Linked DNA regions of Lonchura striata. The protein of the gene in region 1 purifies or fractionates together with the protein of each later gene. This does not show direct contact. Links are inferred from orthologs where the notes say so. Each region holds a gene or a part of one and is shown on either strand. Other genes may lie near its edges.

Region 1 (12,311 bases):
CTAAGAAAAGCTTATTCTAACTTAACGGGTTTTTTGTGTGCATGTAAAAATGATATTATAATCTCAGTATACTTTGGAAAGTATTTGTCTTTTTTATTTGACTTTGCAAATTATGATGTCAGCAGATGACATGAAATCTGGTTACAACTTGAGGACTCAATTTAGGAAGTAAAAGTGGAAAAAGTAAAAAATTAAAAATTATAGATTTCTGCAGTTTTAAGACACTGCAAAAGCTATTAAAATGAAAGCTTCATTCTATACCACTAATCTTCATTAAAGAACAAGTTTACCTTTCATTTAGATAAATTTACAAAACTGCATTTCTTTTCTAGCCAGTTATTTTAAAATAGACATGCTAATTATTCCAAATTGTCTGAGTGAAACAACACATAAGATTTTGGCAAAATATTCCACTATAATCCACAGTAAGAAGAGAGTAGGTTATTTAATACATATGTAACTGTGGGCTCTTACAAGAGACTATTGAAATAGCCGGCATTTTATAATTCCAGGGCAGACTAACAAAGTAATAGTAATATATGATATAACATCATGTTGGTTTCAAATTTTCTGAAGTAGTTAAAACAAGAAAATTTTCTTTTTTATAGGCTACAGGTAACTGGAAATACAGAAGCAGTTTGATCTCCTGTTTATCTAAAGCTTTGTCCTCTGAAAATGTGAAGTCTCTCAGAAAGTTAAACTAAGCAGGAATTCTATCTATTGTTTTGGGGCATCTGGAACTAGTGGGGAATACAGTGTTTTCCCAACATTTTGTATTTCCATTGCACCCTGAAGCTATACAGTACACTGCCAAGAGAAAACTAATTCAGCAGTATAAATTAAAAATAGGATTCTTGTGACACAAACTGCATAAACATGGTTTACTTGTGTAATTATTTTGCAGCAGTGAAAATATGGTTTATTTGTGTAATTATTTTGCAGCAGTTATATGTCTTTGTTATGAAATCTTCACAAAATGTGTGACATTTCTGATAATGGCCAGTATGCAGAGGCAAGCAGAAAGAAAATTATTAAAAATGTTATTGAAGAATGAACCAGTATTTTTTTAAGGGAAAGTGATGCCAATAATTTCTTTGCAATATCCTATTGCCCTTGGTTTATTATTTCTTTAAGTAGATATTTTCAAATATGACTTCAGCAGTGTAAGTGTCAGAACATATAGTTTTAAAAGAGTAATTTAAAAAAATTTCATAGATTTCTGTTGTCACTATTATAAGTACAGCAGAAAACAAGTACTTAAACTATGCTTTAAATGGGACTCTGAAGAAAGTATTGACTTTTTCCTTAATATTTAAATGGGTGCTGGTGTCTTCAATAAAAATCTTATCACCCTCAAAGCACCAAGTGTAACAACTACTAAGATTTTCAGATTCAGACCTCTAGCCTTCAGAAAGTATTAGGACAGAATAATTGGCTTTTGGGAATCCAGTATGAGTGGCTGGTGGTAACCTACCCATAGATAAGGCCCAGTAGTTACAGCAGTTGATTACCACAATTGAACTGCTAAGTTTCTAGTTAAAATTGTTTATTAGAAAGAGCAGCAGTCAAAAGGCATTGAAAAGGGTCTAAGAGCCAGACTATTTAAGGAGATAAGGTGTCCAAGACAATAAATCAGTATAAGGTAGAACAGAATTAAAGTTCTCTAAACATGTTCCTTACTCTATAAAATAGACTTAAAGTGAGGCACAAAGATAGTAAGTTAGTGAAGAAAAGATGAAGTCTTAACACATGCATTTTAAAGCAGGTAACTGGATGATCTAGAAATCTACTCAGTTAATCAGCCCTCAGCCTTGTACAGAAGGTCTGAGTAGCAGCACACCCTTCTCACATGGAGTCCTGCTCTCAGCTGTGCCCAAGAATCTGCCCAAGATGGAATTATTGTTAAACTAAGGGTCTTAGGGGGTCTTCAAAATAACTTCTTCAAAAACAAATAAAACATGGTCCTACCAGCTGTTCGAAGTAGGATCCATTTATCCTTTACAATAGCTATTAACACCTCTGAAATTTATCTACCCACTAAATTGCTCTGGCTTGACAGATCACTTGGGCCTAATTTCCATTTATTTCTCCCACAAAATGACAAGGCAGCTTCTGAGTACTTTGGCAGTTTGTCATACGGATACACGAGTTCTCTATCCTAATAAAGCCTGAATAAGAAAATGCCCATACAATCACAGAATGGTTTGGGTAGTAAGGGACCCTAAAGATCTCTCTCTGAAATGGGCAAGGACATCTTCCACTGGAACTGGTTGCTCAAAGACTTATCCAACATGATCTTGAACACTTCCAGAGATGGGGCATCCCAACAACTTCCCTGGGCAACCTGTGCCAGTGTCTCACCACACTCAGAGTAAAGAATTCCTTTCTAATACCTAAAATAAACCTACCCTCTTCAGTCTAAAGCCACCACTCCTTGTGCTATTAGTGCATGCCCTTGTCAAAAGCCCCACTTCAACCTTCTTACAGACCCCTTTTAGGCACTGAAAGGTGTTTCCAAAGCCTTCTCTTCTCCAGGCTGCACTGCCCCAACTTCCAGCTTAACTTCAAAGGAGAGGTGCTCCAGCCCTCTGACCATCTTTGTGGCCTTCTTCTGCACTTGTTCCAACAGGTCTACATCCTTCTTATGTTGTGGGTTCCAGAGCTGGATGCAGTCCTCCAGGCAAGGACATGAGAGCAGAGTAAAGACAGAGAATCAACCCGTGGGGTCTCCACGCAGGATGCAGCCCAGGACAAGTTTGGTTTTCTGGGATGAAGTGCACCTTGCCAGGTCATGTCAGATTTCTCATCCACCAACACTCTCAAGTCCTTCTCAGCAGGGCTGTTTGCAATCCAGTCTCTCCCTAGACTGTATCTGTGCCTGGCATCTCCCTGATCCATATGCAGAACCTTGCACTTGGCCTTGCTGGCCTCCCTCAGGAATGCACAGGCCCACCTCCCAAGCCTGTCAAGGTCCCTCTAGCTGGTGAACTTTCCCTCCAGTGTGTCATTGGCAAACTTGCTGAAGGTGCCCTCAATCCCTTGTTGCCAACAAAGACGTCAGACAGTGCCAGTCCCAACACTGACCCGTGACGAACAACACTCTTCACACTGTGATCATTCATAATAAAGAACTTCAAAACATACTGGATCAGATAAACTTCTGATAAGAAGTTTGGTAAAATTACTCCACCTCCCAGGTATTAGAGAAAAACAACAAATACATGAGGAAGAGTGGGTGTTCTTTGTACAAGCACCACTTATTATCAGGACATAATGAATTTTGTCTGTAATACATAGATGGTAACATGATGACAACAGTAAATCAGTGATGGGAAGAGTTAATTTTGGGGGCATTCTTCACTGTGTCTGTTCATGCCTGTCTGTCATGAGCCTGGACATCAAAACCAGGGGCAGAAACTCCTTTATTGTGTAGGGAAGAAATACCTTCTAGTATGGAAAAATAGGGAGAGTGTTCCAAGTTTTTAAATCATAGGAAACAACATAAACAACATATGAAGTGGTTTAATTATTCTAACTTCTACTGAAGCCATCAAAGTTGAATATGTACAAAAACAGTCCCTATGGAATAGAAGTCATTTCATCAAAAGATAATGAATGGAATCCCTATGGGACACCCTGGCTTTCCAGCTCTTCTTGGCTGCTGCAAGAGTTAAGCTCTCTCTCTACCTCAAAGGGCCACAAAATTCCTGAGAGTTTAGCAAACAATTAATGAAAAGAGACCTGCAGGTAACTGGACAAGTTCACACATCAGAAAGCAATCATTACATTGTATGTTACTAGCAGGTGGTTAACCATAATGTTTATTACTTGTCAGTCATTACAGACGTACTTTGATTTCTTTGTAGGTGACCAATGTCTTTGTTAATAGCTATTAAAAGTTTTTGATAACAACACAATATCCATCACAATTTTGTTTCATAACAGACTAAACCACAAATTTGTTGACCTTGTTAGATTAGCCATGTGAAATTCTTATATTTAATACTCATTCTGATTAATCTTGATTTACTGCCTTAGAAACTTTCTATTTGAATTATGCTGGTAAATGGCACCAAGACAATGTTTACTTGTACATTTAAAAGGCCTAGGTGTTTGATTCTACAATTAGTCTCTAAACTTGCAATTTATTGGGGAAGATGCTTATCTTCCCTTTTCCCTTCTCTTCCACATTCACTATTTGTTTGTTTATGTCTTGGTTACAAGGGCACTTCCACAAACCTGACTTAGTGGTATTATTCATGACAGCAGCTTGTGTGGCATGAGTTTCCAGAATGACCATCTTAGATGGGAAAAACTCCTCCTTCATTGAGTCAACTCACAGTGAACAAATTCCTTTGCTTACACCAGAAAGACAGTGGAGAAATTAGAAAAATAGTAAAATGTAAAGTAGCTAGGCTTGAAACAGGTGGACCGAATGACAGATGTGCCTCTGTATTATTCAAAAGATTTATTTCTTTCCATGAGATGCTTCAAAACAGCAGTCTTCCAACCTTCTAAACTATATGTTGACCACAGTGAACCTTAAAAACATACTGTGGACTATTATGTGTCCATGCTACTATTATTTTTTTAAGTGTAATAGTTCTATGTTTCAGCATCTCATGGCTATGAGAACTCCATTTACAAACTCCAGCTTGGATGGAGTGTTTTCTCTCCACATGGTATTTTTCTGGAAAGGCTTTGTCTTTGCTTTGATGCAAACTAAAATGAGTGGGTTTATACATCTAGAAAAATACAACTGGATGAGGGCAAAACATCACAAAAATATTATAGTGAACACCTAAGAAAATTACTACAATAAAATGCAAGATAAAGCTTGTTTTCTCAACACAAATGATGGGTTCTCTGGTATATAGGATACTAGGAACTAGCTCCAAGAGTTTTCATCCTTTAAGGAAATAGACAAACACTAATTTTTTTCATTCACTAACCATTCTACTGCATTTTTAGGATTTGCTATTCTTTGTCTCCCACAGCAACATTGAGAACATCCTTATCTGCAATACAGGTAACAAGATATGCAAGGGCTAGGCTTATTCTTGTGCACACGGTTGATTTTACAGAGATAACACCTTGGGACTGTAATCTGTCAGCAGGATCAGCAGAACCACTTGTGTCCATACAATTCAGTCTCATGCAGATTCTGAGACTTTTTTTAGCCCCACTTTTGCTCAAAACTATTAACAATGTTGTAGACTCTTGCAATTATAGAAAAAATATTAATATAAAACAGAAGAAGGGGGGAGGGGGGAAGGAGAGCCTTCCTGACAAGCGATCTGTTTTTTTTTTTTTTTCTTTTCTTTTAATTTTAAATAAAGCTGTCTGCGAATTTGAGCCTAGGGAGACCTTCATTAAAATCAATTAATCAGTCAGCCTCTCTGCTGAATAGCTTTCTGGAGACAAAATAGGATTTGGGAGCGATGTGTGTGCGACTCCTGTTTAACTTTTCTCCCCAGGGCCGCAGTCTCACACCCCAGCTCCGGGGGAAGGGAGACCGTAGCCCACCCGGTGCCGGGGGCACCGCGGTACTTCCAGCAGGTGCCCGGGGCCTGCGGCTCGACGCCGAGCAGGTGAAGGTTGTGTTCGGCGGCCTCGGCCCCCCTTGGGGAAGGAACGACCGCCCATCAGTTTAGCGACCTCGGCGAGGGCTGGTTGCTCCCCGCCCCGGCAGGGTGGAGGTGACGGCCGCGTTAGGAGCCAACTCCCGGCGGTGGGTGAGCCCTCCGGGGCGGGCGCCACCTTCCCGGCCCCAGCAACGACCCCGGAGCATCTCCTCTCGCCCCGCCGGCCGCAGGAGCAGACCCCAGCCCCGCCGCTGCCTCCGAGAGGCTGAGAGGGAAAGTTCTCCCCGCTCCCCCCGGCCCCGCGCGGAGCCGGACGAGGCGGCGCGGTGTCCCCCGGCGGCGGAGGGCGGCGCGGGTGCCCTGCTCCTCCCGCCGCCGGCGGCCGCCGCCGGGGCAGCACAGCTGTTACAGAGCCGCGCTGGTCCCTCCTCCCAGCTGCGGCTGCCTCATCTCCCCCCACCCAGCCCGTCCCTCCCCTCCGCCGCTCCCGACGCTGCTGCTGCCGCCGCCGCCGCCACCTCCTCCTCCCCACCCCCACCCTCTCTCTCGCTCCCCATCTCTCTCTCCGTCCCGTTCCCCCCCTGCCCCCGCCTCTCCCCGCCCTGCCGCCGCCGGCCCTGGCAGAGCAGGCACCGCAGGGGGATCTCGATGTAACACCATGACAGGCATCGCCGCCGCCTCCTTCTTCTCTAACGCCTGCAGGTTCGGGGGCTGCGGGCTCCACTTCCCAACCCTGGCAGAGCTCATCGAGCACATCGAGGACAACCACATCGGTGAGTGCCCGCGGGGCCGCGGCTGGGGCAGGGCGGGCGGGGTGCGCGGGGGCCGCGTGTGCGGCGGCGGCGCGGGGCGGGGTGGGGGGCACAAGGTGCAGCGGGAGCCGGGGCGCGGCGGCCGCCGGGGGAGGAGGGTCGGCGGGCGTGGAGTGGCAGGAGCGGGTCCTGCGGGCGACGTGGAGCGCTCTTCGGGGAGGTGGCGGCGTGCGGCGCGGCGGCATGGGTGGGTGCGGGGGAGGCGTGCAGCCCGCCGGCCCTGGCGAGGGGGAGTTAGTTTGCATTGGCAGGAGGGAGCGCAGGAGCCCGGAGGAGGAGGCGGTGGAGGAGGAGGGAGGAGGACGGGCACAGCACGCCGCCTGCTGCTTCCGCCCCGGCTCTGGCTGTCAGGGCTCCGGGGAGGGAGGGAGCCGCCGCCGCGGCAGCCATTCCGCTTCCTCCTCCTCCTCCTCCCGCCGCCGACACTGCGTCCTGTCAGCGCCGTTGCTAGGTGTGGCGGGGAGCGCGGGTCGCGCTCCGGCCGCCGCAGCGCGGGAGGAGCCTCTCGGTGGAGAGGCACCGGCGTGCAGGAGCCCGGGGTCGGCGGCGCGGTGGGCGTGGAGGGAGCGCCCGGCGGCGGGGCCGGCGCAGCCCCCGGGGCCGGGCGGGCGGGCGGGAGGAGAAGGCGGCCGCGCCGGGTAGGACCCGCCGCCCTGAACCGCAGAGCCCAGGCCCGGCCGCGCCGGAGCAGCACCTGCGGGCTCCCGCCGCAGCCGCCGCCCCGTGCTCCGCTCCGCCGCCCGTCCCGCCAGGGCCGCGGGGGCGGGGACGCGGCGGGGCGATGACTCGTCAGTGCCTTCCCGGCGCGGGCGCCTCATGGGCGGCGGGCGGGAGCGTGCGCAGGGGCGCCGGGGCCGCCCCTCGGCGGCGCGGGCGGCGCCCAAGGGAGGAGGGGGCGGCGCGGCTCCCGGCCGGCCGCGGGCGCCAACTTTCCCTCAGCCCTCTCCGGCGGGACCGGCCTGCCCGCCCCGGCCGGGCCTCGGGCGTGCTGGAGCGCAAGGTCTGCCGGCAGCAGCATCTCGTCCGCAGCCGGGCGCGGCACCGCCGCCTCCCCGCCTCGGCAGGTGTGCTGCTTTGGCTGCTGCGCTGCTTGCTTCCCGTCTGCATCTTCCCGACTTTCTCTTTTTGTTAGTAAAATACAGCGCTTAAACTATCAAAAAACGAGGTACTTCTTTGACTCAGACTTAAGTTTTAAAAAATACAGAAGTTTCAAGTACCTAGGGGACTGAGTGTTTAGCTAGAAGTATGAAGAAATAGTGCTGCTACAAAACGTTGAAGGTAGCATGCATTTCAGTTTATTGAAGTTTTAATAAGCCTGCCTGAATACCTGAAAAATCACTGAAGCTCAAATTGCGAATGTAACGTTACGTTAATGTAGCGTTAAAGGTCAGCAAGATGAAAGGTGTGGTTCTCATAATTACCACGATACCTAGTATGAGGTAACAAAACCACATACCACAAAACTGTATAATTTATGACTCGACATTGTGCAGGTATACCATTGTGCTATTGTCGGGTTTTTTTTAATCTCGTATCCTTAGCTTTTCTTAGACCGTGCCATCACATTACACCAGAAAAGCTTACAGGAAATAGTTCCCCAAAATGAAAGTTCATAAGTCATTTTATGCGCCTCTTGAGTGGATTATCAGCCCTTAGGTGCCACAGCCCACAGTGTGTCAGACAAGATACAGCCCTGCGCATGTGGTCTGTGCATTGCTGTTTGAGTCCCGATCAGCAGTTCTGAGACTTCTTCACACAGAAGGGAACTTTATGTTGAAATACTGTAATTTAAAAATAATTAATTTTGTATTTAATGCTATAGCCAGCATTCATTAATTTTACCTTATCTCAAAGAGAGCTATGGATTGTGCATGCACATGTTTAATAGAGTGTGTCTTTTGCCAAGGCTTCCAGGACATAGACCTGAGGCTCTGCAAATGGAAGCTCTGCAAACAGAAGCTGCCGATTTGAGTACAAACTGCTGGGGTATGACAAAGTTGTTCATGCTTTATTTGTAATGTTTCACCTCTACATGACAGCAGGTTGAACTTCACCTGCTTGTGAATAGAGGATGTGGCAATGTTATATTACCTGTATGAGAGACTGAGAAAGTCAGTAGGGAGTTGAACCAGTGACACTGAAGTTCCCATGTGAAGCTTCAACTCTGGGGTTTGGTGTGTTCAAGGAACTCCTATCACAGCCTAAAGGATGATAATCTATGAAAACTCGCCAAGTTAAGTGCTCAGCCAAAAGGTGATTAACCTTTCTGAAAGCAACTGGGAAATAAAGGACTGAATGTCTGAAGAGGAGTTTATGTTGGAATTACTTTTTCAGGAAGATAATGCAAACAGTGTCCAGCTTTTGCCGTCATACAGGCCTACAAATGTGCACTGAAATGTGTTGCTATAAAAATTGACTGTATTTTTTGGTATATGGAGCAAAGAGTAACATGCCACATAAAAATAGATTGCTTTGGACATTCAGCATGTGCTACAGGAATAAAGAAAACTTGATTGAGTTATATTGCATTATTAGTTTAAACTGAAGTGGGTGATGGCTGGGCAGACGGTGTTTCAGCGCAGGTAACAAACTTGATGCTGCAAACAGCTGTGTGTGGGGAGGTGTATACGGCACAGGCTCTAGGTGGGCTGGCTGCTGCAGTGCTGCTGCTCTGCCATGTCTCACGGGATGGGTTAATCGTTCACATCGTCAGTGGAGCACTCATAGGACTGTGGTTGTTTCTCAGAGCTGTACTGTGTATCTGAAAAGTGGAAACAAACATTTAATCAAGGGAGGTTTTTGTTTTGGTTTTTTTTTTGGTCAGCCTTTGGCAAAAAACTCAGCTTAGCATAAGGAAATAGGAAAAGAGATAGTGGGAAGAAAATGATGCACCAGAATTTTCACCTGAACCTGAGGAAGTACTTCTTTATCATGTGGGAACCTACTCACTGGAACAAGTTGCCTGGAGTGATTGTGGAGTGTCCCTCACTGGAGATACTCAGGAAACATCTGGATGCAATCCTGTGCCATGTGCTCTAGGATGACCCTGCTTAAGATGACCCACTGTAGTCCCTTCCAGTCTTACCAGTCCTGTCATTCTGTGAAACACTGCTGTGGTATTCTGGAGGCATTTCTGAGCAACCCTGCAGCTGATTTTTTTGCTTATAAAACTAATGAATAATCATTTTAAATGAAATCATTTACTGTACAGTGGTGGTGGAAGTTAGTGGTTACTTGAAAAAGTATCAGTGCATATCATCTGGGAGAGTTACGGCCATTGGATGAAGTATTCAACTCTGAGGTGGTGCTGTGTGTGCATCAACACATAACTGCTTTTTGGGTTTTGCATTTTAGATCAAAAACTTGTGAAGAATTCGGCTCACTCAGAAACACTGCTCTGGGGTCTTTCATAAGGCAGATCAGGCCCTGCTGGTGTCCTCTGCAATGAGACTGTATTCTGCAGTCTGTAGCAATACTACTAAACAGTGTGTTCACATTTTCTGTGGCTCACAGCTGGAAATGGATGTTGATTTAAAACTGCTGATTTGTAAATGCTTCTCTGTCAGCTTTTTCTACAAGCACGTTGTCCAAGCAACCTGAAGTGCTGTTACCTTCTCTGCAAGTGTGCTGAGCAGGGGGGCTTTTGGCCTGCCTTGCTAGGCTGTCTCCCTGCCTCTCAGTTTTGTCTGCTCTGACCCCTTGCAGGTAGTTTGGTTAACTTTTCTGACATCCCTTGCCCATGAGAAAAAGGCCAAATATACTACAATTAGACAGGTTCAGACTGTCAAATGGAATGGACTCAACTCCCCTCAGTAATATCAAGAGAGGAGCAAAAAGACCCCCAAACCCACCAATTCTGAACTGCCAAATACTCAGCTGTGACAGCATGGCAAACTTCATTGTATTTCTGCAGTCCCGTAGTGTCTTCAGCTATGATGTTGGGACCAGCACAGCTGCTTCCACAGAGTGTGTCTGAAAATATACTTTACTCTTCTGGGGCATTTTGAGCTGTTCGTAGAATTTCCTCCAATTTGTTTCTCCCTCAGTCTATCTGCAGTTAAACTGCACTCTTTAGAGTGGAGTCAGGTAGCTCCTTAGTTGCTAAAATGAAGTTTACTCTGATGCTGAAGGACCAATATTTAGACTGAATCTCTTCATCAGAATTTGACAACATTTATTTATTTTAATTTTTGCATGGTATTTGTAGTAAAATACTTTAAAATCAGATGAGGTTGCTGTTTGTATGAGGCATTATGTGGCCACTTGGCTCATGGTAAATGCTGACACAGTGTATGTGCCTGTGTACATCTTTGGTTGATAGGAGCAATCATGCTTCTCCTGAGGCTCATCAAGCATTGAGGAAATAGATGTAAATGAATGAGTATCCAAACATGTGATGGTGGGCTAGAAGAGGTGAAAGAGTGGATAGAAAGAGATACAAAACATAAATCTGATGACACTCTTACCTATAAAAGTTTGATAATTGTATTTCACTGAAACTACTAGAATTTGAAGGGAGGAAAAAATTACCATCTACTTTTGCAGTAATTGCACAAAAAAAGGTGATCAGCTGTTTCTGAACATTCATTATAGCTTTGCAAGAAGTCCCAGTGCTGGACAGCTTTCAGAGGAGTATTTTTATAGTGTTGCTGTTGGAACTGGGAGCTTTTCATCAAGCTTGACTAATTCCCAAGTACTAGGATGGGTCCTGCAACAGAACAGGACCTGCTGTGAGAGCAGAGGCAGCTGCTTTTGTAAGTGGTAAGATTAGAAAGAAAAATAAAACTTCCTCCATAAAAGAATAATTGCAGAAGACAGAACAAAACCTTCCATATAAAATACTACCCATCTGGAAAGTTCAGGTCATATGGAGGGAGAAAGAGTCTTAGGAATTTCCATGTCTGGTGGTAGCTTTGACATCTGCTGCCTTTAGTGAGTTAAGTTCTTAATATTATGCAGTCAAAGGGCCAGATTCCCCAGCAAAGAGCTCAAGTAGCTGGATAAGCCATTGGCTGAGTGAATGTAGCTTTCTTAAAGTTGTTACTTTCAATATTTTCTCAGGCATGCTAATAAGTGTGGTGTTCTCACCTTGATAGTTACAGGTGTTGAATGATACTCTGGCTGTGAGCACATGCTAAAATATCATTTGGTGTTGCTAAAATATGGTGGGCTTTGCTTTCTGCTGCTGTGTCGCCCAGACTTGGATGAAGTGCAGTCTGACCGAGGTGGCATCTTCTATATTGGAGCTGACTGCATGTTGTGTAAAACAAGCATAAGAAGATGCAGCTGATGAGGATGAGGGGCTACGCACCAGCATCTACACAAGGCCTGGAAAACCTAAGTCTGTGTGACAGGTTGTGTTCACTTCAAGCTGAGATCTTCACAAGAGTGTGAACGTAGTCTAAGTCCTGCCGTCATGTAACTTTCTCTTAGCATTTGCTCAGTGTGTTATTTAACATTTGGAGTTGAGGCCAGCTGTTTTGAAAAGGTGGGAGATCTCAGCCTAAGGCTTTCTACACCAGGAGTGATGTGGCAGCTAGGTACATGGAGTGCTCTCATCAGCATCTGAAAATCAGATGACAGACGCATACTTAGGTGCCAGTAATATGCATGAATGTGTTCCCTTGCAAAATAAACAAATACGTGCATTTACCTCAGCGGGAGTACTAATTATTGTTCATGAAAAGCAGTTTACGGCTACATTTAGCTAAAGTTCATCCTCTGCCCAGTACTTCTGCAACTGGAGTTTTTGTTTCTTATTTAAAATGCATTTCACAGTGATGTGGAAGGATCTGTTTTCCAAGGATGTTGGTTATTTGCTTTGCAAGTTGGTATAGTGAGGAAGGCCCTTCTATCTCAGGGATGCATTTCTATCAAATAAAGTCTTTTTTTTTGACTAAAAGATCTAATCAGC
Region 2 (12,846 bases), on another chromosome or scaffold:
TTACACCAGAGCTGCTGTTGGAAAGATGAAATAGCCCTTATTTCTACCACCACCACACATTCCCTCCCCTTCCTCCCCCACCCCACCCACAACAGCTCTGTTTAAAAATTTTAAAAAGTATGCATTAAAATCACAGGTACTACACATGGAATGCACCTCCACTTTAAAAACAAACATTTTTCTTAAACAGTATTTAAGTTAGATCTAAGCTGGTACTGGGACTGTACCTAGGCCACTTGCATATTGCACAGTGACAGTACTAAATAAATGCTTGAGAAAAGCAGCATTACTTATTTTTGCATTAAGGCATAAATATTTTTCCTGCTTTTCAAGAGCTGCTCAGGATGAGAAGAAACTGCTGAAATTCCCTCTGAATCCTCTAGCTGCACTCTGTTCTTCAGTTTCATGAACTGTAAGTAATGGCAACTTCAAACACTAAAAATGGAACTCTCATCCAATCTGTTCAGGAATGCACAATTGGAAAAAAATTTAATCAAGTGACACTATATAATGCAGAAACAATCAAAAGCAGTGAAACCATTTGAAACCATTACAAGAACAATTTTTAAAAGTCCTAAAAATAGAATAAGTACAAAAATACATGCAACACTGGAGCGCACTCAGCAACTTCTATGAAACATTCAGTTTCATGAAAAAGCTGATGAACTATTGCTCAAGAAAGAGAAACAATGTATCCTACTTGCATGACAGTCTGATTTGGTGCTCGGCATTGCAGTTCGCAATAAACTCATGCACTACATATGTGGCAGTTATGTTGAAAAAGTGATACCAATATAGGTAAAGCTGCTAATATTTGCATTAGGTCATCCGGTTGCAACTTCTCTCACAGTTCATAACCTGAAATTCAATGCATCATCAATGACCCGCTTCTTCCATTTAATTTTCATCAATTAAAAATATGATATTCCGAAAGTCTCTCATTTTCTAAAGCCAGTGCCAAGTTTGATTCTACATTTTCTCTAATATATGGTGAGTACAAATATAGAATTCTAGCATATTTAAAGAAAACTAGTTATGTATTTACCTGTATTGAAAACTGACAGAAAAACACAAATAGCAGGCAGCCAGCCATTCATACAGAAATGATTCAGTATTAACATGGTCATAGTAGTAATGAATTCCTAACGAGATAATGCTGCTTACAACTGGTTTTCCATGAATAACATTTTCATGGTGTTACACAGTGGACAGGCATATAATTTAAGCAGTGGCTGAATACTATAAAGAGATGAAGCCCTCTATTTACCCACCGGCCAGGAAGAAATCACAGAGCTTCATACACTCTTGAGATGGAGCAATCTCTCCAGTGGCATGATACAACCATCACACTATGTTACCACGGTGCATTTCCTGCACGAGGAATTACAAATGTCATATATTTTATGTGCTTGAGATGTTATTACAGCACCCAACCTCTACCAAAATAAAGTTTGTCGGTATTTCCATTACAAGTTTCTCTTTCCAAATATATTTGGAAGTGTTTTTTAAAAATGCATCTTACCAAATTTATACCTGGTACAGAAAACTAGTGTAAAAGATCTCTTGTTGGTTTTCACTGTGAAACTTAGGAAGTTTTGTGAAACTATTCCATAGATGTTAATTCCAGGACACTGACTAGGCCATTTTCCATGCTAAAAAGAATGAAATTTCTTTTTCAAAAATGTACTTCTAACTAGGGAATCTCAAATCCACTTCTAAAAATAGAATTAAACTTATGTTTTCTACTTATATAGGATGACTTTTTGAACTAAAAATATTTTTAATATACAGTTGTAATCTTAGCTCAATAGGTGAAAGAAAACTCCAAACTAATGACTGAAAAGTGGCCTCTTCTACAGAGGTCTCTCAGCCCACTTGCCCTTTATTATTTATTAAATCCCTTAATTACGTAACCATACGAAAAATCACAGTAAACTTCAAGGATACTAAACAAAGTAATTTTAATCAGACAAAAGATCTAGTTTATTTTTTGACTGAAATTTGCATAGCGAGGGAGATAAATTATTTTCTATGGCCATGAACACTTGCAGTTTGTGTTTATGAGTTGATTTAAACGTTTTAGCTGTTGAGCATCCAAGCTTCAATGGATATGCATCAAGCCATCACTTAATATCCCTTTAAGTAGGTTTTGTGCTTTTTTTCTTTAAGCGTAGGCAGAAAATATAAAAACTGATTTAAGGTAACCAGCTTGCTGTAAATTCACTATAGTGCATAAGTAAAACAGGTAACTTCAAATACTGTGGTGGATCTAGATTACAATTCCAATTAGATGCAGAAGCTTTCCATGTCCCAAATGGTCAATCTAAGGATTAAATGACAAGAAATTTTGCTGTATTAAGTTTTTAAACAATTCATAATACAGCCAAGTTTCTCTATAGCTCATGTTGAACTTTCTACTTGCATTCTTCATATTCTTCATATGGGGGCCACCAGAACAAAGTAGGGTGAACAAAATGTGTCCCAGTTGCACTGGTTTCATGCTTGTCCCCAAGTGTAAAGCAGCACTTTTCTTTAAAGATCTTCTGTTCCATTTATGCTTAATTGCAAACAGCGGAACTCCCTAATAAGTTTTTAATTTCAAAATCTCATATACCAACTCTTGTGATATCATCTGTCACTCACCTCAGCCACCTGCTGAGTCTCCACTACCTGCTGAGCCAGCACCTCCATATTGGTTGCCATGGTGAAACAAGACCATTAGAGAACCTGTTTGGAAAGATGCCAGCAACTTCCATCAGGCACAAAAGTTTGGGATCTTTCTTAGTATTAAAGAAAGCTCTGCTACGACTTTTTGAAAATTTACAATTCTGCTTGAAATATCTGGCAAATAAGAGAAGATGCCATTGATGTGTGTGTGTGCACATATACATACACACACACACATATACATATATGGGACATGCATATTGGAACCATGCTGTTCAAACTGCTGAGGTACAGTTGTTCTTTTACTTTATTAAGCCTCTAATATACTCTTTCCACTCTGTTATTTAAGCTGTAAAAAAGAGATGTGAATTTCATAAATGAGAAAGGACTAATTTCAAAGTCAAGTACTAATGCAGTTTGTGCAATTCATAGATCTCAAAGTCACTTTCTTCAGCTCAGGCAGGAGATGCCTTGCCACATGCTGAACCAGGGAGCAGCAAGCTAAGAATGCTGTTTGGCGTAGAATTTCATTGAGTCGTTCCATCAAATCACCACGTTCATCCATATTCTTAAGAGTAATCTTACACAATAAGGGAAATAAACAGTTACATCTAAAATGTATCTTCCATTATTTAAACTATTTCTTTATTATAATGTGATACTATTGTCACAATGAGAAGAAAATACTGCAATAATTTTATCCTATTCCAAGTAATTCCACCTTCAACTTCAGGGGTTAAAAAAATTACAAAGAAATCAAAGACAAAGAAACAATTATAAACCACTTTCAATGTATTTTTAATTATCATTATTAGGGGTATATTTCTTCAAAGTTAAATTTAATTAAGATTTTCAATTAATGCATTCAGTTTTTAATTGTGACTTGCTAATTACAGGGCTAGATTTCAGATTCTAATCCAAGTGTAGGTAATCAAAAGGCATTCCTGAAGGCAGGCTCATTTGATGTTTCATTGGAAACCTCCTTAAAATTGCAAAGCAGTCATTTAATATAAATTTTAAAAATAAAACAAACAATAGCAACACAGATAACAGAAAAATGTATGCATGTCTCTACCACTCATTCAAATGTAACTTCTACAAAGTTAACATTGTTAAATATGTCAGAATTTGTTACATTAAATGGATTCACTTATATTGCGACAAATGTGAAAATAATTTTGTATATGTCAAGTAAAGATTATTTGTAATAATGCATAATCAAACTTGAGACATCCCCATGGAATTTGTATTTACACTAGGTTCTCCTAGAGCTTGTCATTATTTTATTGAAGTATTGCACTTGATTAAGACTATGAACCATTTCCACCAAACTCAGCTTATGGATGGTTTCTTAGTTGTTCAATGGTTCCTTTTCAGTGTTTCCTCTTTTTTTTTTTTAATATTCAGCAAGAAGCACAAGAAGCATAATTATATGCTCATAATATACTGTTTGCTTAGCGCTTTATGACAGAAGCCCTTCAGATGAGATACTTTGTTCATAACAGTACCTTTCTGAGACACAAAACACAAGTGTTTGCAATAGAGTGAGTCTGACAGATATGCTATTGTTGGTGTTACCACCAAGGCTTTTTGTACTTTCAACCTTCATAGAAGAACCTTAAGCTGAAGCTATCTGATCAAATCCCGCTTTGAGCACAGAGACTATACACAGCCACAAGCTTCTTAATGGTGTCAGCTCTCAGAAGGCAAAATCAGCTTCCTAGCCAAAGCCCCGAGCAACAGTTTGTAAGGCAGCCACAACAAAAGCCCCCAAACCAACACAAGAGGTGAAATTTTAAAAACTAGGAAGAAGCACCTTGAGCACCAGGAAATTATTTTCAGCATAATAGGGTGGCAGCCAGCTTAGTATACATTGTCCAAAACACAGCGTAGAATCACTAGTGTTTCCCTAAGCTGCAGCGCAACCTCAGAAGCAAGTCATAAATTCTACTTGAGAGGTTCTAAGGGTATGGCTCTACTGACAAGACACGGCAAAAGGCCGCATTCAAACTTAGTGAAATTTGTTCCTTTGTCTTAATGAAACGAGGTTCTTTACGCTGAGTCCGACTCGGCTACACCAAGCGGCCTCTAGCAGGCTGCCATCGGCAGGACGGGCGAGAAGCGGGTACAGCCCTGTCGGCAGTCTCCCGTATATTGTCCAGGCAGCAGGAAGCCGGCCCACACCCGGACACCGCCGGCCGCCGGCCCACAACCCGACACCGCCGGCCGAGCAGGAGCACCGCGAGCGGCGCCGGCATCGCTCCGACCCCGGCCAGGCCGCGCCGGGCCTGCCGCGCCCCCATTGGCTGAGCCACGCGCGCCGCACCCTCATTGGCTGCGCCACGCCCCATCCGCCGCTGAAGAGCCTTCGACAGCTCCCCGCGGCGCGTCGTCGAGCCACGCCCCTGGCCCGACCAATGACCTCAGGACAGGCGCAGCGCTCCCCCGCAGATCGCCCATTGGCCGAGCCACCCGCTTGTAACAGCGGCGGTACCGCCCCTCGAGCAGAGGGAGAGCCCCCCGGGGATTCACTGAGCACAAGATGGCGGTGCTGGCCGTCCGCCAGAGCCCAGGCGGGGCTGCTGCCGCCGCCATTAGGCCCCTTCCCTTCCCCTCCGGTACAGCTTTGTATCCGCCTAGAGGAGACCCAGGCATGGCAGTGTGGAAGCGGCCGGTAAGATGGCGGCGGTTTCAGCCCCGTATGCAAAGTACCCGCCGCCCCCTCCCCTCCGCCCTCCCGGTGGCAAAGGTAAAAGGGTCGGGTTCAAGCCGCCGCCTCCGCCCGCTCAGACTCCATCTTCTGCCTCTGTGTGTCCCGCGCTCGTCATCACCGCGACCATCGCCCTACACCCCTTGGACAGCAGACTTTGCTCACCGCGACCGGACCAGCCCCGACCTCAGCCGGCCCACGCTGCAAACAGCGGCTCCGGCACCAGACTGCCTCGCCGATCGACCCAGCACGCCACAGTGGTCGTTTCCTCTTTCCAGGAGCTGTAGACCAGGCCAGACCACGGCTGGTGCTCGCTTACCAGACAAATACCGGAGCCGTGCAATCCCCCTCCCCTAAACCCACCGTCACCCCACCCCTCCCCTCGCGGGGGTGTCCAGAGTAGGGCCCGCTGCCGCCTCCCCGCGCCCCCTCCCTCGTCCTGGCCCCCACGAAACAAACCCACCAGGCCGCTTCAATTTTAAAAAATGTTTTTTACCTCAGGAATGGGCGCCAAAGGTGCAGTGGCGGTGACCCGACCGGGCCCGGGCAGGCCGGTGCCCAGCAGCGGCCCTCCCTCCCCCCGCGGGGGCTGCAAGGGGCTGTGGGGCCCGCGGAGGGGAGGGGGCCGGGGCTGTGTTGGGGTCGGGGGTGTTTTGTTATGTGTGCCGTGCCCTGTGACAGGTCAGAGTTCGTGACCCCACCGCCGCCGCCCGGTAGCGCGGTCCCGCTTCCTCTTCCAGCGCCAGCCCGGCCGCGGCCCCTCCATCCCCCGCGGGGCGGGGCCGGCGACGGGGAGGGGCTACCGGGCTACCTGGGCCTTCCGAGCCCTGCACCGCTCCGGCCGTGCCGGGGACGTGCCGGGAGGACCCTGGCCTCCGGCGCAGCGAGGGGAAGGTACGTTCACCGCCTTTGTTCCTCTCGCTCGGGAGGCTCCTCAGGAGCTGGCAGCCCGAGGTAGCGGGTTGGCGGTGGCTGTCCAGTGCGCTGATGGTATTGATGTTACAGGTGTACCTTGGTTCTCGCTGACGATACAATCAAAGGTGGGCTCACAGTAGAGCAAGCTCTCACAAACGCCACCGCCAGACTGTCGAGTTTTTATTTAATTTTGTAAATTCATTGATTAGGGCTCTTACGGCAAAGCTTGCTGTGAGGTATGTTGTGCCTTCAAATACACAATGATAGGCACGAAACAGGTTCGGGTGTAGCTGAGGTGGTGTAGGAATTTACCACGTTTCAGTGCTTGTCTTCTCACAGGCTAACAGATGTTCACCCCTTGTCATAACTAGCTACTTCTTAACCTACTCTCATCAAAATGTTTTTAATGCTTCTAGTAGGTTTCCCTTGAGTCTTACAATTTTTACAGAAGCTAATTTAAGAAGCAGTTCGATTAATAAGATAACGCCTGAAACAAAACGGAAGACCTACCAGTTGAATGCAACAATCACAGAAACGAGGGGTTGTTGACTTAATAGTTACAAAGTCAATATAATGATTTTTTTTTTTTTGGAAGATTGTAGTTTTTTCTTAGAAATGGCTCTTTGAGGTAAGGGTATGATTAATGTACTAGACCTATGAATTACAGTCTTACTTTCACAGAACAAGAATTATTAAAGCATGTGATGTGCAGATGTGTTTGCAATACACAAATAAAGGAAAATGCTTCAAAAATGTCTTCATTGTGGGTGTTCACTACTGTAGGGTAAAATAGATGAAGAATTTTCAAATTCTCAAAAAATGGATTTGTGCATACCTTTAGAAGCAGATTTTTTTCTTTTAACTTCATAAAATATACTATAAAAGTGTGATTGAATACATGGAAAATGCTAAAGCTAAATATGAATGGCTGCTTCCCCATCCCCCCCCCCCCCAGTATTTCCTGATGGGCAAGTTGAGGAAAGGTTTAGAAGGCAGGAGGGTTTGTTTCCTCCATCTTCCTTGTTTCTGCAACCAGGAGGTAGTTTTGCAGCAGTTTTACTCTGAGCTCTGGTGGAGAGCAATCATATTTGCTGTACAGCTCCACCGCTGAAGAAAGCTGCATTAACATTGTGACAAATTTCACTGTGGTTTTTGCAACAATTTCAATGAAGTTTAGAACTACCATGTATGCTCTTGACTTATTAAATAAGCAAGATTGTATTAGATAATGGTGAAATTTGCTAAATTTATATCCACAGCTATATAAAGGAGTGTTAGTAAAAACTGCTTTTTTGCTTTAGCTATGACTGAAGAGAAATTAATAGACTATGCCAGAGATTAAAAACATCAAAGAGAACTGAGATTACAAGTCAAGGTTAATAACTAGACTGGCAGCAAAGAAAATAGTTATATTTATCTACCGCACTGTGGTGAGCTGACTGGATTGCAGCCACATGATAACCCAGTCACTCACTTTCCCCATCTCTTCTCTAGCAGGATGGGGAGAAAAATGACATGAAAAAGCTCATAGGTCAAGATAAAGACTGAGCAATCAACAATTACTGTCGTGGGCAAAGCAGACTTGGGGGAAATATGTCTAACTGCCGGTTAAAATGGATGTGGATGGTGAGAAAATCAAAAACGAAAATACCACCTTCTGTAGCCACCGCTTTCTGCCAAGTGTAATTTCACCCCTCTCCCATCCAGCCCTCAGGGGGTGGGGGATTCCAGCCGGCACACATCAGCTCCTGCTTGCCCTTCTGCTCCTCATGGAGGGCTGCTGTCCTCATCCCGCAGGTCCTGCCGGGAGGGCGAGCTGCACCGAGAGCTGCCCTCCTCAGGGCTGCTCTCCCCACGGAGCACGGTCTGCCCCCCTCACGGGACAGCGAGCTGCCCCCCTCACGGTACAGCGGGCTGCTCTCCCCACGGAGCACGGTCTGCCCCCCTCACGGTACAGCGGGCTGCTCTCCCCACGGAGCACGGTCTGCCCCCCTCACGGGACAGCGGGCTGCTCTCCCCACGGAGCACGGTCTGCCCCCCTCACGGGACAGCGGGCTGCTCTCCCCACGGAGCACGGTCTGCCCCCCTCACGGGACAGCGGGCTGCTCTCCCCACGGAGCACGGTCTGCTCCCCTCACGGGACAGCGAGCTGCCCCCCTCACGGTACAGCGGGCTGCTCTCCCCACGGAGCACGGTCTGCCCCCCTCACGGTACAGCGGGCTGCTCTCCCCACGGAGCACGGTCTGCCCCCCTCACGGTACAGCGGGCTGCTCTCCCCACGGAGCACGGTCTGCCCCCCTCACGGGACAGCGGGCTGCTCTCCCCACGGAGCACGGTCTGCCCCCCTCACGGGACAGCGGGCTGCTCTCCCCACGGAGCACGGTCTGCCCCCCTCACGGGACAGCGGGCTGCTCTCCCCACGGAGCACGGTCTGCTCCCCTCACGGGACAGCGAGCTGCCCCCCTCACGGTACAGCGGGCTGCTCTCCCCACGGAGCACGGTCTGCCCCCCTCACGGGACAGCGGGCTGCTCTCCCCACGGAGCACGGTCTGCCCCCCTCACGGGACAGCGGGCTGCTCTCCCCACGGAGCACGGTCTGCCCCCCTCACGGTACAGCGGGCTGCTCTCCCCACGGAGCACGGTCTGCCCCCCTCACGGGACAGCGGGCTGCTCTCCCCACGGAGCACGGTCTGCCCCCCTCACGGGACAGCGGGCTGCTCTCCCCACGGAGCACGGTCTGCCCCCCTCACGGGACAGCGGGCTGCTCTCCCCACGGAGCACGGTCTGCCCCCTTCACGGGACAGCGAGCTGCCCCCCTCACGGGACAGCGGGCTGCTCTCCCCACGGAGCACGGTCTGTCCCCCTCACGGGACAGCGGGCTGCTCTCCCCACGGAGCACGGTCTGCCCCCCTCACGGGACAGCGAGCTGCCCCCCTCACGGGACAGCGGGCTGCTCTCCCCACGGAGCACGGTCTGCCCCCCTCACGGGACAGCGGGCTCCTCTCCCCACGGAGCACGGTCTGCCCCCCTCACGGGACAGCGGGCTGCTCTCCCCACGGAGCACGGTCTGCCCCCCTCACGGGACAGCGAGCTGCCCCCCTCACGGGACAGCGGGCTGCTCTCCCCACGGAGCACGGTCTGCCCCCCTCACGGGACAGCGGGCTGCTCTCCCCACGGGACAGCGGGCTACTCTCCCCACGGAGCACGTGTTGGCCCGAGGGGGCCTCTCCTCAGGCCGCAGTTCCTGCCTGGAAAGAATGAACTGCTCCCAGCCTTAGCTGAGAAAGGATTTAAGTGCTGGTCAATTTCAAACGCACCTGCTGCTAAGTACGTTGTAGCTCCTCCCATTAAGTAGGATAGTTGCCTTAGAAGAAAAAAATATGCTGCAAAGCTGCCACACAAAAAGAGAAGGAAAGAGACCCTGTGGAAATTATTCCCTGCCCAGGAGAACAGACTAAATTCCCTATGGAATAAAGGTAAGATGTGCGTTACTTGCAGGGAGGGAACGAGGCTCTAGGCATGGAAGGAGAGGACCTCTACAATGAATGTGTGGGCTGCAAGAGGCCAAAGCTCTCTCTCTGGCTATGGTGGTGGCAGTAAAATTACATAATGGACTAAGAGGGATCAAAACTTGGGGCATGCCAAATAATATAAAATACAAATATGGTTTGAGGTTATTCATGCGTTTTGAATATTTGGGATAAATAGTACTGTAGAGCTCAGTTGTTTGGGGTTCTTTTAAGTTCTATTTTCAGTTGCTTTCCAGAATATTTTCTGGAACTTCCAAGGTAAATTGTCAGAGCCGAGCCAATACTTAGTATGGAAGAAATCAACCATTACAAGTGACTGACAAGGTTTTAATAGAACTGTTTGGTATTGTTAATGCCACATTCAATTTAAATCTCTCTTTTAAGTGTTAGCAGATGATTTTTAAAGTATGAATCCTCATGCCTTTCATTTGGGTTTGTACATGGCTGGGCAGTGCAGAGGAAAGCTGGTGCCCTCCATCAAGTGGGAGGTTTTCCCTCATTTCTCCATGTTTGTCTCTTTATTAGTAAAAGTGAGTTTGCTGTCTGCTGTAGGTTTTCTTGACTGCAGAAAAATATCACTACATAAAATTATTAAGGTTGGGAAAGACCTTCATGATCATCAAGTTTTACCTTTCACCTCATACCACAATTCCCTGGAGTCTGGAAACTTTCTTGTCAAAATGTGATGAAAAGTGATGTTACAGTGTTACCTAGGCTGAAGAATCACAGCTTTTAATACGCAGTTTTATTCCTAAGTTATTTGTGGAGTTAGACTAGTGTTTTTTCTCTCAGTATTTAAAGGAATACATTTTCTCCTCACTGAATATTGTCTCTTTCTTTCACCTTCACAAGCACGGATATTCATGTACTGTTGTTACAGCCAACATAGTTTTTACTGCTTTTATATCAAAGCAGCATGCAAATAGGAAAGCCTCATTGGTATTCATAGCTGTGTGGTAAAAGCAGCAGAGAACTAGCTCAGAAAGGGTAGCAGTCCAAGGTCTTGACGAGCAGTGCTTGTGTGAGTGGTATAGTCCATCTCCAAATGACTTGTACTTTGATTTAGAAGAAAAAATTAATAACTGTTTAAAAACCAGATTTTAACTAGGCGTATACCATAACACAGGTCTAAATATTATTTGCAAATAATAACTAATAAACTTAATGCTTTTTAATAAATCAATTAAACAGAAAAACTCTGAAACAACATATGGGAGAAGCTTGATCCCAGGTGTTGGCTGAGCAGCTTGAACCTTGTGACTTGCTACTAAATTTTTTTATCATATTTGTGAAGACATGGAACAAAATTTTTGTTTTGAAGGAGTAATACTAGCTAGAAATTAGTATGAAAAAGCTGTGTAAGTAAATGTCAGCTGAATATGTACCTCTATTTTAATATGTTAGCATTTTCTAAAAGGTGATTACTGGGTTAACTCTGAAATAAATATTTCTGTCTGTGGTGCTTAGCTTTGCTCAGATTCAGTTAACAGCAGGATTGAAATTGTGAGGACATTTTCTTTAATTTTTTTTTCTCTTTATGCTGCATTGAGACCATTTGTATCTGTAACTGAAGTCAAGATGAAGTAAAACAGATAGGGTTTCTAGAAGATAAATCAGTGTGATTGAAGCACATCATCATACCAATTAGGTCTAAATCCTGTTTCTACCAGAAGGCCTCCAGTACCATCTTCTGATGCTTTTCCTTATTTGTCAGAGAACTGCTTAACAGGCAAGTGTCTCTAACAGTAACTGGAACTGCAGGGTTGGAGTCAAAGGTAGTAATGGTGTAAAGGAAAAGCCTGTAGAACTGCAGTTATGTTTTGCTCTTTTATTTCTCTACATTACTTAAACCAATGTTTAATAGCACTGTATCTTATTTTTTACAACAAAATATTTTCATGTTCATTTCCTGCTTCTAACTGAAAGCTTCATACAACAGTCACTACATGTCAGCACCTGAATCTTCATAATATTGTCATTCTGTAGTGCAGTTTTGTTTTGTTTCAGACCGTAGTTAGAGATCTTACTCTGTATTCGATGTTGTCTTATTTTTCTTGTCAGTGCAAAATGTTTTCAAGGGGAGATTTACAGTGTATTGGTAGCAAGGCTATGTCTCTTACATGAAACAAAGTTAAGCTTGCTGTTCATCCATTAACTAAAGAATACAGAAGTTTTATTTTTCTCATTCTTGGTTTCTGTTTGCACATGATAATATATGCTTAATGGAATGGTCAGACTCAGGTGTATCAAAAAAAAAACCCCCAAAATGACCTTTGTATTTAGTGGTAGATGTTTCTCTAAACTTGTTTATTCAGGTGATAAACTGATCTACCTTACCATTTGGATATATATTGTAGACCTTTAAAATATGGACAATTCTAAAAAATTTGTTAGGGTCAGAAATTCAGATCTCCATTAAGTTCCTTGAAGAAAGTGAAAAATAAATGTAATAAAAATTCCCACCAATATAATTTAATGCAAGTAAATTCTTGAGCGTGTTATTTTTATACAAAGATATATTTTAATCATAGATGTCATTCTGTTCCTCAGTTAAATATTATGACTGAGGACAAAACCACTGTGTTGCAATGATTAGAACATCACCTCTCAGTCATCTTTATAAAAACTCCCACCCAAAACATTAAAATACCCCACTGCAACAACAATAACCAAAACAAGAAAACCAAACCAAACAAACAAGAAAAACAAAACAAACCCCACACCCCCCAAAAAAATTAAAACAAAAACAACCCACACAACAACAACAAAAAAAACCCAACAAAACACCCCCCAAACTCTAGAGATCTATATCCTCAGCTGATGTAAAGCACCACAGCAGTCTGACATAGGACAGGTGTGGCCACAGGAGTTCCAAGTGACTCCAGCAGAGCAGGTTTAGAAAAGTGCATTTCAGTCCACCCACCATATTTCAAATGCTGTACTGGTTATGTGGATTAAACTTTTGATGACATTTTTCATAACAAGAACCACAGAAATAACAGGAATTTTGGTATTAAAGATACA

What was found.
Region 2: the proteins of JAZF1 (region 1) and NR2C2 purify together in Homo sapiens (affinity purification with mass spectrometry; 4 studies listed by BioGRID and IntAct, with this or other methods). This does not show direct contact. The link is inferred for Lonchura striata from reciprocal best matches to the Homo sapiens genes JAZF1 and NR2C2.

What each region holds. Positions count from the first base shown.
Region 1 is NC_134603.1:122,869,754-122,882,064, forward strand, and holds the start of JAZF1 (juxtaposed with another zinc finger protein 1), read left to right. Parts: upstream 1-6,137; 5' UTR 6,138-6,243; coding exon 6,244-6,358; intron 6,359-12,311. UniProt on the Homo sapiens protein: Acts as a transcriptional corepressor of orphan nuclear receptor NR2C2. Inhibits expression of the gluconeogenesis enzyme PCK2 through inhibition of NR2C2 activity.
Region 2 is NC_134614.1:24,151,259-24,164,104, forward strand, and holds the start of NR2C2 (nuclear receptor subfamily 2 group C member 2), read right to left. Parts: upstream 6,156-12,846; 5' UTR 5,874-6,155; intron 5,740-5,873; exon of another isoform or gene 5,458-5,739; intron 5,342-5,457; exon of another isoform or gene 5,074-5,341; intron 2,728-5,073; exon of another isoform or gene 2,644-2,727; intron 1,372-2,643; exon of another isoform or gene 1-1,371. UniProt on the Homo sapiens protein: Orphan nuclear receptor that can act as a repressor or activator of transcription.